Coturnix japonica: one gene and its partner. Each later gene encodes a partner of the first gene's protein in a complex. Links are inferred from orthologs where the notes say so. Each region holds a gene or a part of one and is shown on either strand. Other genes may lie near its edges. The genes, in order: COQ7 and COQ4.

The links.
Region 2: COQ7 (region 1) and COQ4 share a complex: the UniProt entries of both Homo sapiens proteins name them as parts of the multi-subunit COQ enzyme complex. The link is inferred for Coturnix japonica from reciprocal best matches to the Homo sapiens genes COQ7 and COQ4.

The regions. Positions count from the first base shown.
Region 1 is NC_029529.1:8,179,315-8,183,831, reverse strand, and holds the start of COQ7 (5-demethoxyubiquinone hydroxylase, mitochondrial), read left to right. Parts: upstream 1-1,579; 5' UTR 1,580-1,637; coding exon 1,638-1,713; intron 1,714-1,823; coding exon 1,824-2,011; intron 2,012-2,109; coding exon 2,110-2,224; intron 2,225-2,335; coding exon 2,336-2,475; intron 2,476-3,841; coding exon 3,842-3,910; intron 3,911-4,002; coding exon 4,003-4,080; 3' UTR 4,081-4,517. Other genes in the region: TMC7 (transmembrane channel-like protein 7), read left to right, coding at 1-20, 290-349. UniProt on the Homo sapiens protein: Catalyzes the hydroxylation of the 5-methoxy-2-methyl-3-(all-trans-polyprenyl)benzoquinone at the C6 position and participates in the biosynthesis of ubiquinone.
Region 2 is NC_029532.1:3,727,541-3,731,862, forward strand, and holds the start of COQ4 (ubiquinone biosynthesis protein COQ4 homolog, mitochondrial), read right to left. Parts: upstream 2,947-4,322; 5' UTR 2,932-2,946; coding exon 2,874-2,931; intron 2,755-2,873; coding exon 2,578-2,754; intron 2,144-2,577; coding exon 2,047-2,143; intron 1,468-2,046; coding exon 1,365-1,467; intron 1,042-1,364; coding exon 912-1,041; intron 400-911; coding exon 306-399; intron 71-305; coding exon 1-70. Other genes in the region: mitochondrial mRNA pseudouridine synthase TRUB2, read left to right, coding at 2,980-3,076, 3,162-3,281, 3,358-3,432, 3,560-3,621, 3,785-3,866, 4,141-4,213. UniProt on the Homo sapiens protein: Lyase that catalyzes the C1-decarboxylation of 4-hydroxy-3-methoxy-5-(all-trans-decaprenyl)benzoic acid into 2-methoxy-6-(all-trans-decaprenyl)phenol during ubiquinone biosynthesis.

The DNA of each region.
Region 1 (4,517 bases):
TAAGGGAGCAACTGGTTATGGTAAGGTTTCACCCACTATATTTTTGTAGTAGTTTTCCTTGTGGCATCCGTAATTAGGCATACAGAGGACAAACAGTCTTCCTGATGTGAGGTAAATGATTTCAAAGCCATTGTTAAACTTCTAGTTTAGGCAGTTGAGAGAGTGCTGTTAACCACTAATTAGAGTGCTGGTGATGAGAGCATCTATCTACTTCTAATAAAGAAATGAGTTAGATATAGAATTTGTACGTGTTTTTATCTGAAGTGTACTTTTTATTCTGTCTTTCCAGGAGAGTCGTGACAAGTTGTTCCTAATTGAAAAACTAACAGAAGCTCAGAAAAATTCTTGAAAACCACAAAAAGCCAGAAGTTCGCATGTGATGCTCCTGGAACCACTAGATAAGGGTAGATGATCTGCAGGATGTAAAAACAGCAGCTGACCAGTACTGTGATCTGTGTAGCAGGTGCTTAATGTTTTTGTTAGTGTTGATTATGCTAGTGGGCCTTATAGTTTCCAAGACTGGAAGTTTAGCTTATTTGTACCATATTAGACCTGTTTGAAACATTCTGTGGCAGGGTGTTTTACTGCTGCTACCATCTCAGAGCTGTTAGGATCACTGATAAGTTCCTGGTTTGTTTGTATTTTTCAGGAGTTTGGGGCAAATTATGATTAGAACTGCAACCATTTAAGAACTCCATGCTGTTTTTATAAATTATACTTGAAATAATTGGGGTGGGGTGAGTGGTTTGGGGGCGGGGGCTGACTTTTTCCCACCCAGATCTCTTTTAAAACGGAAGCAAAAGAGACACATGTCCGTGATTTGAAGTAGTGCAGTTGAACACTAGATCAAGAAGCATGAGGAGGATCTCACTGCTGTGCAGGAGCCTCTCGCAGATGGTAAGGCTGTACTGCTTGCATTTCAGCTCTGAACAAGTGCCTTGAATACAAGTGCCTCGAATACTGCTCCGTGTTCTAAAATGTGAATGTTTGGGCGTTATTTATAGTCAGAAATGCAGCATTCAGAGCTCGGCTGCTGCCCTTTAGATCTTGTTTAATGGACAGATGCAGCTGTGTGACTCAGATCGATGGTTCCACGTAACCTACGAGTTTCTCCCTCTATTTAAAGGCAGTTTTCCTGCACATTGCTGTGTACATTACTCGACATTTCCTGGTCGCACACTGGTGTTTCATGTAAGATAATTCCTTTTTACGTGATGTTTTGTAATGTTTTCCGTCCTCAGTTTTTGATTAACGTGTAATAAACCAAATTTTAAAATCCAGTATCTGATCTTTTAAAAAACGTTTTATTGGACGATGGAAGCCGTGTTGGCAGTTTGTTTTTTGGCTTTATTTGGCTGTGAAACACGTTTAACACGACGCTACCATGTGTGAGGCCTTCCATAGCTTCCCCCTGTGGCACCAAGCGGGATCTACCTCATGGCTCCCGCCTCATGGGCTCCCGCTTCCCGCCTCCCTTTCGTTCCTATGGGAACCAGGAGACGCTGATTTAGATTGACAACTCCGCTGCCCAGTGCGGAGGAGGCGGGCAGCCAATGGGAATCGTGATGGCGGCGGGAGGCGGGCGGCTCGCGGTGATGACGTAAGCAGCGCGACGCAAAGGCGTCGGGGTCAGCGGGATGGCGGCCGCCGCGGTTCTGACCCCGGCGCTGCGGGGCTCGTTGGGCCGGTACCGAGCGCTGAGGGGCCCTGCGGGTACGGAGCTGCCGCTGCCCAATGCCGGACGGACCGAGCCTTTCGCCTGGGCACTTACAGCCGGGGCCGGGCGGCGGCAGAGCCCGGCTCACCTGTGTCCCTTCCGGCAGGTCGCTGTGGAAGGCGGCCTGTCCCCGCCCCGAGGCCCTGCAGCACGAGGCCGGCTCTGCACGGCGTCAACAAAGCCGTCATCGATCGCATCATCCGCGTGGACCACGCCGGGGAGTTCGGTGCCAACCGCATCTATGCCGGGCAGATGGCCGTGCTGGGCAGGTCGGCAGCCGGGCCGCTCATCCAGGTGCGTGGACACGAGCCCTCCTGGTCTGCGTTGCGCTGCTTGGTTATAGCGGAGAGTTGAACTTCTCGGGTCTGTGCTGTCATTTGGTTCTGTTACAGCAAATGTGGAATCAAGAAAAAGAACACCTGAAAAAGTTTAATGAGTTAATGGTTGCATACAGAGTCCGACCTACTGTCTTATTGCCTTTCTGGAATGTAGCAGGCTTTGTTTTAGGTGAGTTTGTGTTACTGTTGCTGTTGTTGGTTTTGGAAGTCTTCACGTGCTTCAATTATTCACGTTGTTTCAGATTTCACTGTTTGTGTACGTTTGGTACTGCAATCACAGGGGCTGCAAGCTCTCTGCTTGGAAAGAAGGGTGCAATGGCTTGCACAGTAGCAGTGGAAGAGAGCATTTCAGACCACTATAACAACCAGATCCGAACTCTGATGGAAGAAGATCCAGAAAAGTACAAAGAACTGATGCAGGTAACTGTGGCTTGAAAGGGACGTCAGAAATTCATTGAACTTTATAATATGACTTGACTTTTAAAATATTGCACCAATCTGGATTTCCAGCATCTCTCAATTCTGTTGTTTAGAATTCCAAAGTGAATAGAAATTTTAGGATAAAAGATGGCTCTTCCTTCCTTCAGCAGCACTAAGCCTATTGAGTAGCAAATTAAAACATACATTAGATTAACTTCAGCATGCTTTCAGTGCTTCATTGCTCCCCTTTTCTCTGGGAGAGGTGGGACTTAATTGTGGTTACTTTTAATTGAAAGGTAGGGGTTAGGAGGGAGAAAAGGGAAAGCAGTGATGACATGATCATATCCAGCATAAGCAAAATGTTACTATGTGAGTCTAGTTTTGAACACTGCTCAGAGGAAGAAAGGAGTTAGTGTTTGTTAGCTCTGCAAGAGAATTATTTCCCAGTTGCTTTAGGAGTTGCACTGGGATGTGCTCCTGTAGGGTGTTCATGAAGGGCTGACCTCAGATATTGCAAGTTCAACTTATTTGTGGTAGGAGCTTACTTTACAGCCTGTGTATACAGTTCTAGTTCTTTGCTGTATGTTACTGTGTTCAGTTGTGTCTAGTTTAACATGCTGACAAGTCTGCTTCTATCCAAATTGTATTTGTGTTTTTATGTAACCAGATTGTGCTGATGTGCATAAGGAAAATATTGCCTATGAAAATAAGGGCTGGTATCTGAGTGCAGAATACAGAAGAAGGAGTTGAGTAATAATGTTATTCACAGCCTCAGTATGAGGAACAGTAATGAAAGCAAACTTCTTGGATGGGGACAGTGGCTGGAGTTATTCAGATGTCCTGGTTATCTCCAGTCAGACCAAGAGGAAATTCTTTAGATCTTTTTGTCCTAGTTGGAAAACTTAGAGGAAAAAAACAGTGTTCTTTAGACTATGCTGAAATGGACAAAAGCTGTGTTGGGTAACAAGGAAATACCCTTACTGGTAATCTGTCAAGGCAGACGCCTTAATTTAGTTAATTGAATTGTCAAGGTAGCAGATGTGTGTGACAAACCAGTTAATTACTGTGACTACAGGTTTTCTTAAAATTTTTAAAAAGATAGTGATATAGAATGGCCTGAGCTGAAAAGGACCTCAGAGATCACAGTAGCTTTGTTTTCTTCAATACTCCTGCAGAACATTTAAATAACTCTAGTTTGGGGAGATGATATAAATAATCCTGTTCTTGGAAGTTGAAGACCTGGGGAAGCTTCTGAGAGACCCGGGCTTACTCTCGTGCACACAATGAACGACAGACTGTGGTTCTGTATTCAGCTGCCTTGACTTTTCTGCAAAGCAGACTTACTAATTACTTGCTGTTTTTAAAGATAATAAAGCAATGTCGGGATGATGAACTGGAGCACCATGACGTTGGGCTTGAGCACGATGCAGAGAGAGTAAGTACAGTGTTAATTAATTGGTGCTGCTCTATTTCAGATAAAGCTCCATCCTGCTAAGTACTTCTCATTTGTTATTCTTTGTTTTACAGGCACCGGCTTATTCTGTATTGAAGACGGTAATACAGCTTGGATGCAAAGCTGCAATATATTTATCAGAAAGAATTTAGTGATGTTTTCCATAATGCTTGCAGTAATAAACTGTGAAACGAAAATGTATGGAAGACTAAGCTTAGTTTTTATTCAGACTTTTAACATTTTCTTAATTGAGCATGTTTTGACCACGTCTGCTTTTGTCACTTTGAGTACCTGCTCAAAAAATCAACACTTGAGTCGTTTGGGCTGAATGTGAACAATGGCAGAATTGGCAGAAACTGTTCACAAGGTGGCAGTAAAATATGTATGTATTGACATACAGACTGTGGGTGTGTATTACATAGATATCTGCACACATGAACACAGTACGTTTTCTATTGCCTTCAATTTTATATATACTTGAAGTAAGTTGGAGCTTATTAGCTCATTTTAAAATTGTCTGTATTGAATAAGTAGGATATTTTTAAATTGCGTTTTCAGGGTAAGTAAAATGAAGTGAGCACTTCTGTTC
Region 2 (4,322 bases), on another chromosome or scaffold:
GACACAGCTGGCGTTGCTCCCGCTCCGGATGGCCCATGGAAGCAGCTCAGTGACCAGAACCTGCAGCTTTCTGCAACAAAGGGCACAGAAAACAATGGTTTTCATTTCCACATTTGGTTTTCTATTTCTTCCTGCAAGTCCCTGTTCTGGGCAGATGCAAACCCTACACCCCTGCACCCTTCCAGCACTCCTGCTTATCTCACAGGGAAAACTGAGGCATAGGACGGGACTCTGTGTGGGAAGGTTACACCCAAGAGCAGAGCTCAGGCCAACATGGATCTTTATCAGCCAGCACGTGTGCCTACCTTGCATTGAGACGAACGGGGCCAAACGCTGCTCCCAGCACACACATGGGCAGCCCCGTCTGGACAGCTTCGAACCATTTCACCACGACCTCACCTGGCAGCAAGCAGAGCACAGTGAGCAAGCACAGGGCACGGCCCCACATCGGGACAGGAGCCCTGTGTTATCCCCCAGAAAGGCTGCGCTCCTGGAGATCTTTAGTGATGCAACTGCTAAATGAGGATTTCCCTGGGTATCTTTCCCCATCTCCCAGCATGGAAAAGCCCATTTTCAGCCACATCTGAGCCAGAACCTTCCAAGGGACCAGAAATGCTGCTTCCTGCTGGCTCACCAGGAAGGCTCAGCTTGTGACTTGGAGTCAGATATAAAATGAGGGGAAAGGACACAGGGAGGCACACATAAGGAACAACCAGGAAACCCTTGACAGAGCTTGTGTAACACCACATTGTGATCTAACCCAGCAGACAATGAACACACACAGATGACAGAGGACAGTGGTGCAGGGACAGGGATGCTGCCAGCCTCCCCATGCACCTCTCTGGGCTGGGGATCAGGGATTCTAATGGGCCAAAAACCATCCCTGGGCAGCATGAAACGTGGCAGCTCACCCAGCATGTTGGTGGGCATGCCCAGCAGGGTGTGCATCAGGTCGTGCACTTCTCGGTACCGCTGGATCACATACGCCAGTTCTTCATCATCCACAAACTTGGCTGGCATGCGGGTGTCCGGAGAAACCTTCTGCAAGGGCAGAGAGCTGCAGGTCAGCCAGAACTCAAAGCTTCTGATCTCAATCTTTAACACACAGCAATGCAGAGCTCACCATCAGTGTATCTCTCAGCCCCTAATGCTGTGGGTATCATTTACACACATCAAACACACGGGCTGCACAGCACCAAGGACGCATAACCCACACCCAGCATCACATCCCAACCTCTCAGCTCCCACCAACTCCTTTCATTTCCTCCAGGTGCCCTATGGGCTTCTCCACAGCCACAACCTCCCTCTAAATCTCATCTGTGCTCCTGGCACAGACACCAACCCCAGTGAGATCCCAGGCTCACATTGTCCTCCAAGAAGCGGACGTATTCACGGCCCAATGTGCCATCTGGCAGCCCCCGCAGCCGGGCCATGTCCAGTGTGGAAAGGTGGATGCGAGGCCGCTCCCTGGAACAGAAAGCACTGAGCATCATGTGGGACCCACACACTGGGGGTGCTGGGCAGATGGAGACCTGGACAGCCCTCCCTGCCCTTCCCAGCGCAGCCCCTACATGACACAGAAGACACAGAAGCAAAAGCCATCAAGTCTTATCTCACAGCGCAGGGAGATGCTGTGGGTGGTGGAATGAAAACCTGGAGGTGCCTATGGAGAAGACAAAGCAGTGGGGGTGGAGTCCCCAAGGGAGGAGATGCTGCAAGGGATGAAACAGAAAACACAGCATCTACATGAAGAGAGACAGCACCTGCCAGTGGCAGCAGAGCAGAACAGACTGTGATGCTGAAACAGCCCAGGGGCTCCGTGCTGCTGCCCTGGGACCTGCTGCAGGGCTCTGCTGTGAGCTGAGTACAGAGCAAAACCCACAGCTGGGAGGCTCAGAGCTGACAGATCCTGAGCTCCTCACAGGGCAGCAGTGTGGGGGTCTCCTTTACAGGGCTCAGGGAATACACCCGGATCAATGGGGTGGATGGATGGGGTCTGACAGAGGGGCAGAGGTGGAGGGCTGGGGCTGGGTATGGGGAACGCACTGGAGGATGCGGTAACCTTCGGGGTCATTCCTCATCCTGTCTCGCAGCTTGGGCAGGGCAAGGCAGCCCGTGGTCTCACCGAGGACTGCCACCATGTCTGAAAGAGAGACTGCACAGTGATACAGCAGCACCATCCCTGCACTCCTGCATTTGTGATGCCTGGACACATTTTGTTGATGGGAGGAGAGGGGACCCCGAGTGCTGCAGGGGGTCACAGAACCATCCAGGTTGGAACAGCCCTCTCAGACCCCCAGGTCCAAGCCCGGCCCACCTGCCATGCCCACCCACAGCCCCACCATTCCTAACAGCTCCATGGATGGTGACCCCAGCTGTGCAGCACCGCTCCTTCTGAGCAGCAATGCTCCCTTATATCCAACCTGAGCCCCCGCAGCACAACACGGGGCCGTCACCTCTCATCCCACCGCTGTTCCCCATGAGCAGAGCCCGACCCCAGCTCACCGCAGCTCCTTGCATGGACTGCAGGGAGCGGTGAGGTCTCGGATCCATCCCACCTCCCCTATCCCCACGCACCGTGCCTATAGGGATCCCACAGCGCGGCGCACGCCGAGCCGGCCGCCAGCAGCGCTTTCTGCATCGTGCTGGTGGGGATGTGCCCGGGGTACAGCGGGACGCGTCCCACCGGCTGCTCTTCCTCCTCCTCCTCCTCATCCTCAGCGCGGGGCACAGCGCGGCCCAGCCCGGCTCTGCCTGCGGGGAGCGGCGGTGGCAGAGCTCAGAGTCACGGCGCTCGGGACGAGTGGGTTCCCATAGCGGGGTTCCCTTACCCGGGTTCCCTTACCCGGGTTCCATTACCGAGGTTCCCTTACCCGCAGCGCCCCGCACCGCCCGCAGCAGCGCAGCCCGCCCCGCCGCCCCCCGCAGCATGGCGCAGCCCCGGAAGCGGCGTGGCGGGGCCGTGCGGGGCGGGGCGGGATGGCGGCGGTTCCTGCGGGGCTGTTCGCCGTGTACAAAGCGCCGGGGGTGGCGTGGAACAGCGTGCGGGATGCGGTGGAGACGCGGCTGCTGCGCGGTGAGCGGAGCTCAGGACCCCCCCAATGCCCCATACACACACACGGCTCGGTCTCGGTCTGTGCTTATTCTCCCGTTCCTTGCAGAGCTCAACGCGGCCCCAGCGCGGCCCCCGCGGAGCCGCATCCGTTTCCTGCCCGCTGCGAGCGCGGGGCCGCCGGGGCTGGTGGCCGTGAAGGTGCCGGTGTTGGCCGAGCACCGCCTGGGTGAGTGAGCACCGGGGGGTGCGGGAGAACAGGGAGAACCGGGAGGGTCCGTGCTAATCTCCGTGTCTGTCCGCAGTTCGAGGGCCCCGCTTCACGCAGCTGAAGATCGGAGCCGGGCACCGGCTGGACGTGAAGGCATCGGGGGTGTTCGGTGCGAGCGGGGCGTTGGGTGGGATGGGCCTTAACGCGGCCCCGCCGTACCGGCAACACGCGGCTCCCGGCTGCGGAGCATCGTGACCGGCACGGCTCTAAGGGCCGCCCCGCATCCTGCATTGCAGTGCTCGGCGTTGGACATGGGAACAAGCTGCTCAGCCACCTGCACAACTGCCACCTGAGCAAGGTACGTGCCACGGGAACCCAGAGCGACCTGGGACGGGATCTGAGTGTCGGTGCCACCCCGGGGCTGGTCCGGAGGGTCGGGTCGGCGGTGGGCCGGGCTGATGGCTGGACTCAGTTGTTCTGAGCCTCCCTTTGATGGATGACACCCTCTGCTTCTCTTGGAGGTTTACACGGTGAGGGGGCAGTTTGGTAAAGCCACCGAGGACTTCTCAGACACTGGGAAGCTGATAGAGAAGACAACGTTTGGTAAGAAACGGAATCGATGTGTTTAAGGGGGAAATAAACCCTCAACAGAGCACTAAGCAAACAGTGCTCCAGCTGAACAGCAAGGCCAGGTGAAATGCACAACCAAAGGCAATGCTCCAAATGCTTCCTGGCCTCTCTTTATGCACGTACCACATTAAGGTGCCTTGATCCCTAGCCCTAACCACTGCTGACACCAATGGCACCACTCAGGCTGCTGTCCTCCCAGTCTCCAGATGGATTTTGAGGCTTTGTTTCTACCTTGTGATATTTGCAGATCATATCACGAGGGAGAAGCTGGAACGGATCCTCGCCGTCATCCAAGGAACAAACCACAAGGCCTTGCTGATGTACGTATGTACGTGGCTGTGTTTGCCATTACAGCTTGTAAAGGTTTGAGCACTACCCCAGAGCAGACAGAAGTCACTTGGAGTGCTGTGTGTGCCAGTGACACTGTGC